Linked DNA regions of Callithrix jacchus. The protein of the gene in region 1 interacts with the protein of each later gene in a biochemical or structural test. Links are inferred from orthologs where the notes say so. Each region holds a gene or a part of one and is shown on either strand. Other genes may lie near its edges.

Region 1 (3,605 bases):
GTGCTGTGGCCACAGGAAGAATCTGCCTTTCTCAAAGGTTCCATGGTGATAAAATGGTCATAAAAGAGAGAAGAACCCAAAGTCCCTGTTCCTCATGTGTCACCGGGCTGGAGTGCAACCTCCACCTCCGGGTTCAAGAGATTCTCCTGCCTCAGCCTCTCAAGTAGCTGAGACTACAGGCACCGGCCACCATGCCAGGCTGTTTTTATTTTTAGTAGAGACGGGGTTTCACCATGTTGGTCAGGCTGGTCTTCAGCTTCTGACCTCAGGTGATCCACCCGCCTTGGCCTCCCAAAGTGCTGGGATTACAGGCATGAGCCACCTCACGCCTGAGAGAGATATTCCAGCTCTCACAGAGTGAGAGCTTTATTTAGATATAATTCACATACCATAAAATCTGCCCTTTTGGGGCAGGTGCGGTGGCTCACACCAGTAATCCCAGCACTTTGGGAGGCCAAGGTGGGTGGATCACAAAGTCAGGAGTTCGAGACCATGCTGGCTAACATGGTGAAACCCTGTCTCTACTAAAATTATAAAAAATTAGCCGGGCGTGGTGGCATGTGCCTTTAGTCCCAGCTACTCAGGAGGCTAAGGCAGGAGAATTGCTTGAACTGGGGAGGCAGAGGTTGCAGTGAGCCCAGATTGCACCACTGCACACACTCCAGTCTGAGCAACAGAGTGAGACTCCGTCTCAAAAGGAAAAAAACAAAAAAACAAAAAAAAACTACCCTTTTAAAATGGACAGTTCAGTGGTTGTTAGTCCATTCACAGTGTTATACCATTGTCACCATCTACTTCCAGAACATTCTCATCATCTCAACAATAAATCCCAAACTCATGAACCGTCTCTCCCCTTCCCCTTCCCCTTCCCCCAGGCCTGGCAACCAAGAATCTACTTTCTGTCTGTATAGATTTGCCTGTCCTGGACATGTCATAAACAGAGCCATATGTTACTGATATGTGGCCTTTTGTGTCTGGCTTCTTTCAGTTAGCACACAGTTTTCAAGATTCATACATGTTGTAGCATGGATCAGTACTTTATTCCTTTTTATTCTGTTTTCTTTTTGTTTTTGTTTTTTTAAGACAGAGTCTTGCTCTGTTGCCCAAGCTAGAGTGCAGCAGTGCAATCTCGCCTCACTGCAACGTCCACCGTCCTGGTTCAAGCACTTCTCCCGCCTCAGCCTCCCGAGTAGGTGGGATTACAGGCACCTGCCACCTGTAATTTGTTTTGTATTTGTAGAGACAAGGTTTCATCATGTTGACCAGGCTGATCTCAAACTCCTAACCTCAAGTGATCCACCCACCACAGTCTCCCAAAGTGATGGGATTACAGGCCTGAGCCACTGCACCCGGCCAGTTTTTGAGTAGTGCTCTTGCTGTTACCCAGCCTGGAGTGCAGTGCAGAATCACAACTCACTGCAGCCTCGACCTCCCAGGCTCAAGTGATCCTCCCACCTCAGCCTCCTGAGTAGCTGAGACTACAGGCAGGTGCCACCATGCCTGGCTAATTTTTTTTTTTTTTTAGAGACAGGGTCTTGCTATGTTGCCCTGGCTTTGGGCATACATTCCTTTCTATGTCTAATTCCCACTGGTGGCATGCCAGTTTTGCTTATCCGTTCATCCATTATGAACACGTGGGTTGTTTTTACTCCTTGGTGGTTAATAATGCTACTCAGGAACATTCACATGCAAGCTTTTGTGTAGACGTAAGTTTTCATTCTTCTTGGTTCTATACTTAGCAGTGGAATTGCTGGGTCAGATGGCAACTGTGTGTAGCATTTTGAGGAACTGCTAGACTACTTCCCAAAGGACTTCACCGTTTTCTGTCTCTGCCAGCACTCGTTATCCTTGTTGTTGTAGTTGTGTTTGTTTTGAGATAAGGTCTTGCTGCACTGCCCAGGCTGGAGTGCAGCGGTGTGTTCACGGCTTGCTGCAGCCTCGACCTTCCTGGCTGAGGCGATCTTCCCACCTCAGCCTCCCGAGTAGCTGGAACTACAGGCTTGGGCCGCCATACCCAGCTGTTTTTTTTTTTTTTTTTTGTAGATTTGTGGTTTTGCCATGTTGCCCAAGCGCTCGGTGTTTCTGTCATGGCCCTCCTAGCGGGCGTGCAGTGGTATCTCACTGTGGTTTGAATTTCCCTGATGACTAATGATGTCGGGCAGCTTTTCATGTGGTTATTGGCCATGCTGTACATTTTCTTTGGAGAAATGTATGTTCACATTCTTTGCCCATTTTTTTGAGTGGGTTTTTTTTTTTCGTTATTACCTTGTGAATAACTGGGTTTTAATTGATGAAATTATTTTTAAAAAACAAAACTGATATCTAAGCCTATTTTTTTTTTTCTTTCTTTGTTCTTTTTTTTGAGACGGAGTCTCGCTCTGTTGTCCAGGCTGGAGTGCAGTGGTGCAATCTCAGCTCACTGCAACTCAGCCTCCCAAGTAGCTGAGATTACAGGCACAAGCCACCACGCCCGGTTAATTTTTATATTTTCATTAGAAACAGGGTTCCACCATCTTGGCCAGGCTGGTCTGGAACTCCTGACCTCATGATCTGCCCACCTCAGCCTCCCAAAGTGCTAGGATTACAGGCGTGAGCACGCAGCCAAGCCTGTTTGAAGAGTATCAGTGTGACCCATTGTCTCAGGTTGTCACTGTGGGTCAGACGTTTTTAAGTTTACATGTGTAAGATATTGTGACGTGCTGTGCTGCCCCAGGAGCCCTGTTCAGCCGGCATCTGTGTTATACAAGGGGTGGCCCTCAGTGCATGTCCCCGGTGCTGTAAACGGGAAAACAAAGTTCCTTTGTTGCTTTCATGGAGAAAAAGTGTTGCTTGGGTTATCTTCAGGTGCAGTATTCCTCTTGGTGACGCTACTGGGATCACACGTGGGAAATTCGGGTCCCTTGTGCTAAAACGTGTGCTTCTTTTGTTTTACCCAGAAGGTGCTAATTGGAAGAAGAATTTGCCCCCCAAAGTGCCCATAACTCCAATGCCACAGTATTCCATTATGGAGACCCCGGTGCTGAAGAAGGAACTGGATAGGTTGGTGGTCTTCCAAGCTTGCCCACAGTGGGCTTTTCCCTCCCACGAGTAACCAGGTTTCACAGGCCTGGGGGTGGGAGGGTCCCCCACGTGGTCCCTTGGGGTCCGGTGGATGCAGCTGGCCTGGGCTTGGGAGAAAGGGTCTGCGGTCTGCTTCGTGGGGAGCATGCATGACTGCTGGGTGCCAGGGTGAGCTGCCCAGTCCTCTCTGTGCACCCTTCCCAGGGAGCCAACACGTAGACTCTGGCATGTCACCCATGGGCAGCAGGTCCCCATGTTCCTTGTGGATGGAAGTGGCCCCTAGCCAGAGCAGTCTGAGTGAGGAGGCCTGATTTTTTTAAAAGAACATTGAACTCTCACATCCACATGACGGTGCTCTTCCGCTCAGGCACCCAGGGAGGCTGCTGCTGCTACCATCCATCAGAACTGGGAGCAGTATATCTTATGTCTGGTTTTTATTTTATTTTTGGAGACAGAGTCTCACTCTGTTGCCTACGCTGGAGTATGTGACCTTGGCTCACTGTAGCCTCAACCTCCCGGGCTTAAGCGATCCTTCTACCTCAGCC
Region 2 (4,500 bases), on another chromosome or scaffold:
CACCAATCTTTCATCCTACTCCCCATTCTCCTCCTCAAAGCAAATGGTGCCACCATCCATCCAGTTGCTTAGGCAGAAACCACAGTCACTGCAGATCCCTTCTCTTCGCTGACCTCACATACCCAGTTCATCAGCAAGCTCTGTGGATGCTAACTCCAAAACAGATCTCAAATTCATCCATTTTCCTCCCAGTTCACTGCCACCACAAACACCTTGGCTAAATTCTCTCTCCTCATAAGTACTATTATAGCTTTCCATCTGATTTCCTAATTTCTACTCCTATCCCCTTTAAATTTACATAAGAGCAAGAGTTTGCTTCTCAAAACATAAAACTGGCTCAAGTCACTCTCCTGTCCCTCACTCTACACAGGGCTAACTGTCCTGTAATTCTATTTTTTTTTTTTGACACAAGGCTCCATTCTGTCACTCAGGCTGGAGTGCAGTGGTATGAACACAGCTCACTGCAGCCTTGACATCCCACCTCAGCCTCCTAAGTGTCTGGGACCACAGGCACGCGCCACCACACCCAGCTAATTTTTGTATTTTTTGTAGAGACAGGGTTTTGTCATGTTGCTCAGGCTAGTCTTGAACTCCTGGGCTCAAGCGATCCGCCCACCTCGGCCTCCCAAAGTGCTGGAATTACAGGCATGAGCCACTGCACGCCTTCTGTCATTCTTTAGGTCTTAAATGTTATCTCCTCACAGGACCTTAGAGGACTTCCTTCACCGTCCAAACTAAAAAAACACACAGAGAGACAGACAGACACACACACACACACACACACACACACTCTTTCTTCACAGCACTTGCCAGTTTACAACTATTTTATGTGTTCATTTATTGGCTTCTGCACCAGAGGGAACCGTTCGGGAGTTAGAGGCCTACTGTCTTCATGTTCTCTGCAAATTTTCCGAACACCTACCTCTGTGTCTAGCACAAAGTAAGACCTCAATCTGTGGAATGATCAGATTAACTTTTTCAGCCCCAGTGTGCCAATGTTACTAATGCTTCTACACAGAAAGGAAGGATCCACCCAAACCCCCAACCGACAAGGAAGCCGTCCGTGCTCCGGAGGGAGGGTAAGGACAAGTGCTCCTCAAACTCCCTCACCCACGGCTTCACTCAGGATTTGTCACGTGACCAGCAACAGCCGGCTCTCAAACCTGGAGTGCCCCACAGACTTTCCCTTGCATTCGGGGTCCTCCGCAGAGATTAATGTCATCTCCTTCCCTCCCTGCTGGCTCTACCACTCTGCCTCCCCTGCTCGCCCCGCTCTGATTACCGCGTCCCATTACCGGCTGTCCGGATCCTTAGCGCCACCGCCGCCGACGCCATGTTTGCGTTCACCAACTTCCGGTCCCCAAAAGGTTCTACTTCCGCTATCAGTAGCTGTACTTCCGGGTCTTGTGTGGCAGTTGAAAGAGTGGCGGGAGAACTTGCAGGTGAGTATCCCCGGTCGCGGGCCTGCGGATTGGGTAGGGCTTCCCTCCTGAGTACCGCTCTGCGGCGTCTTGGTGGCCAGGGCATTTAGGAGTCTCTGCAGCGGACCGCCAGCCTGAAAGGCGCAGAGCTTATCGGGCAGGGGCCCACTTGTCCCACTCCCCTCATTTGCAGATGTCAGCGGAGCCCCAGCGAAGGGTCAGAGATGAGGCCCCCTCCTTAGTCATTCAATTTACTTTACTCAGCCAGCTGTGTGCCAGATACTGTACTAAGCGCGGTGGATGCATTATTTCATTTAATTCTCACCACCTTATAAAATGGGGCTGTTACCGTCCCTGTTTTACTAAGGAAGAAACTGAGACCGAGGCAGGTTACATGTCTCCTCCTGGGTCATACCTACAGTGTTAGTAAATGTTCAAGGAATGATTAACTTTGCACATGACCCAGCAATTCTACTCCTAGGTATATACACGCAAGGGATTTGAAAACATACCCCACTAAAACTTGTACATCAATGTTCATAGCAGCGTTATTCATAGTAGCCCAAAAAAAAAAAAAAAAAAAAAGGAAACAAATGTCCAAGTGATTAATGGATAAACAAAATGTAGCATATTCATACAATGGAATATTAGTCAGTCATAAAAAGCAGTAAATACTGATACAGGCTACATCATAAATAAACCTTGAAAACATTATGCTAAGTGAAAAAAGCCAGTCATGAAAGGCCACATATTGTGTGATTCTATTTATATGAAATATCCAGAATAGGCAAATGCATAGAGAGATTTATGGTCGCCAGGAGCTGGGGAGAGGGAGGAAATGGACAGTGACTGCTTAATGGGTGCAGGAATTCTTTTTGAGGTGATGAAAATAAATGATGATGGTTGCACAACATTGTGAAAATACTAAACTTCTGAATGTACACTTTTCAAAGGATATTATGATGTGCGAATTATATGTCTTTTTATTTTATTTTTCTTTTGAAGCAGGGTCTCACTCTCACCCAAGCTGGAGTGCAGTGGTACAATCACAGCTCACTGCAGGCTTGACCTCCCAGGCTCAAGCGATACTCCCGCCTCATCTTTCTGAGTGTCTGAGACTATAGATGTGAGCTACCACATCCAGCTAAGTTTTGTATTTTTTTTGTAGAGATGACTTCTTACTATGTTGCCTAGGCTGATCTCCAACTCCTGGACTCAAGTGATCCTTCTGCCTTGGCCTCCTAAAGTGCTGAGATTATAGGCATGAGCTACCATGCCCAGCCTTTATCTCAGTTTTGAAAAACAACAACAACAACAAAAAAAAAAACCAGCTTTTGACCAGGTGTGGTGGTTCACACCTGTAATCTCAGCACTTTGGGAGGTCAAGGCACGCAGATCACCTGAGGTCAGGAGTTTATGACCAGCCTGGCCAACATGGTGAAACTCCGTCCTCACTAAAAATACAAAAATTATCCAGGCGTGGTGGCACATGCCTGTAATCGCAGCTACTCAGAAGACCGAGGCAGGAGAATCACTTGAACCTGGGAGGCAGAGGTTGCAGTGAGTTAAGATTATGCCACTGCACTCCAACCTGGGCAGCAGAGTGAGACTCCCATCTCAAAAAAAAAAAAAAAAAAAAGTGTAACTTTTGACGTCTCCATTTCAAATGTGGACATCAACAAGGGGGTGGAGGTGTTAAATCTTGTTACTAGCCCCCATTACAATTTTGTAATGGTAACTCTACTTTGTTTATAGTCATCTGGAAAGAATTTGAAGAGGATTCCTGTTAGACTACCAGGAGTTAGAGTTCCAGATTGAATGTGTTGGGGCCATGTCATATTTCTCTGTTTCTGTATTACCTATATCTTATATTTTTCTTCATAAAGCTTGGCTATGGACCACAGCTAGTGGACTGAATTGAATACTCCAGTCTGTGTCGTATGTCTCTTTTCCTTTTAGGGAATGATTTGATAGCACATACTGATGGCTCTGAAGAAGTCATCACCCTCACTGGATTCTGGTGACAGTGACTCTGAGGAGTTGCCAACATTTGCCTTTCTGAAGAAGGAACCTTTAACAAAGAGGAGACAGCCTAAAAGGGAAGAGAAGATTGTAGTAGTTGACATCTCAGATTCTGAGGCCTCCTGTCCTCCATCACCAGGCTTGAAAGATTCACCACCTGTCCCAGACACAGCTGAAACTGTCACACAAACACAGTCAGTCAGTTTGCTGTGCAGTGGAAGTGAGGATGAAGAATCTATTCCTCTAGCTCAGAGGCTTATACATAAATTTCTGACCCACAGGCAACTGAGCCCTGAGGACTCTAGCTCCCTAATTAAAAGTGTTTTGGATTATCAAAATAATGAAGGTGTGTCATGTGACTGGAAAAAGCAGCCCTTTTCAAAGATCCCTGAACTTCCCCTCCATGATACTCCAGAGAGGAGTGCATTAGATAACAAGGACCCAATCTTAGATCCATGCCGTCAGCTTCCAGCCTACCAGTCTACCTGCTCTGGCCAGAGCAGCAGCTTGGCAGTAACCAAAACAAATTCTGAAATCCTCCCACCCCAAAAGAAAACCAAGCAGAGTCAGAAGGTCCAGGGAAGAGTCTCACAGGGATGCCAGCAGCAGAGACAAGTAAGGCAGAAGGAAAGCACCCTGAGACAACAGGAAAGACAGAAGGCAGCACCGGTAACCAGGATGAAAGCCCAGAGGCCAGAGGAATGTTTAAAACACATCATTGTGGTGCTGGATCCAGGTTCTCGCATGTGTCTTTGTCCTTTGCTGAGTTGTCTGCTTTCTGGACCATCCACTGACAGTCCCTTTTCCATCTGTTGCAGTGCTTTTACAGATGGAAGGTGGGGGCCAGCTCCTGGGAGCACTGCAGTCCATGGAGTGCCGCTGTGTGATCGAGGCGCAGGCCGTGCCTTGCAGCGTCACTTGGAGGAGAAGGGCTGAGCCATCTGTGGTAGGTGTTTTCTGACATTTCCTCCCCCTCCTCCCCTTAGAGTTATAGGATAAATATGCTTTTATTTTAAATGATACTTATCAGTCAGGGTCCCAGCAGGAAAACAGATGG

The links.
Region 2: the proteins of SLX4 (region 1) and EME1 form a complex in vitro, tested with the Homo sapiens proteins (3 studies listed by BioGRID, with this or other methods). The link is inferred for Callithrix jacchus from reciprocal best matches to the Homo sapiens genes SLX4 and EME1.

Annotation. Positions count from the first base shown.
Region 1 is NC_133513.1:5,691,577-5,695,181, reverse strand, and holds part of SLX4 (structure-specific endonuclease subunit SLX4), read left to right. Parts: intron 1-2,936; coding exon 2,937-3,039; intron 3,040-3,605. UniProt on the Homo sapiens protein: Regulatory subunit that interacts with and increases the activity of different structure-specific endonucleases.
Region 2 is NC_133506.1:115,950,633-115,955,132, reverse strand, and holds the start of EME1 (structure-specific endonuclease subunit EME1), read left to right. Parts: upstream 1-1,399; 5' UTR 1,400-1,442; intron 1,443-3,380; 5' UTR 3,381-3,404; coding exon 3,405-4,179; intron 4,180-4,261; coding exon 4,262-4,389; intron 4,390-4,500. Other genes in the region: MRPL27 (large ribosomal subunit protein bL27m), read right to left, coding at 1,296-1,335. UniProt on the Homo sapiens protein: Non-catalytic subunit of the structure-specific, heterodimeric DNA endonuclease MUS81-EME1 which is involved in the maintenance of genome stability. In the complex, EME1 is required for DNA cleavage, participating in DNA recognition and bending.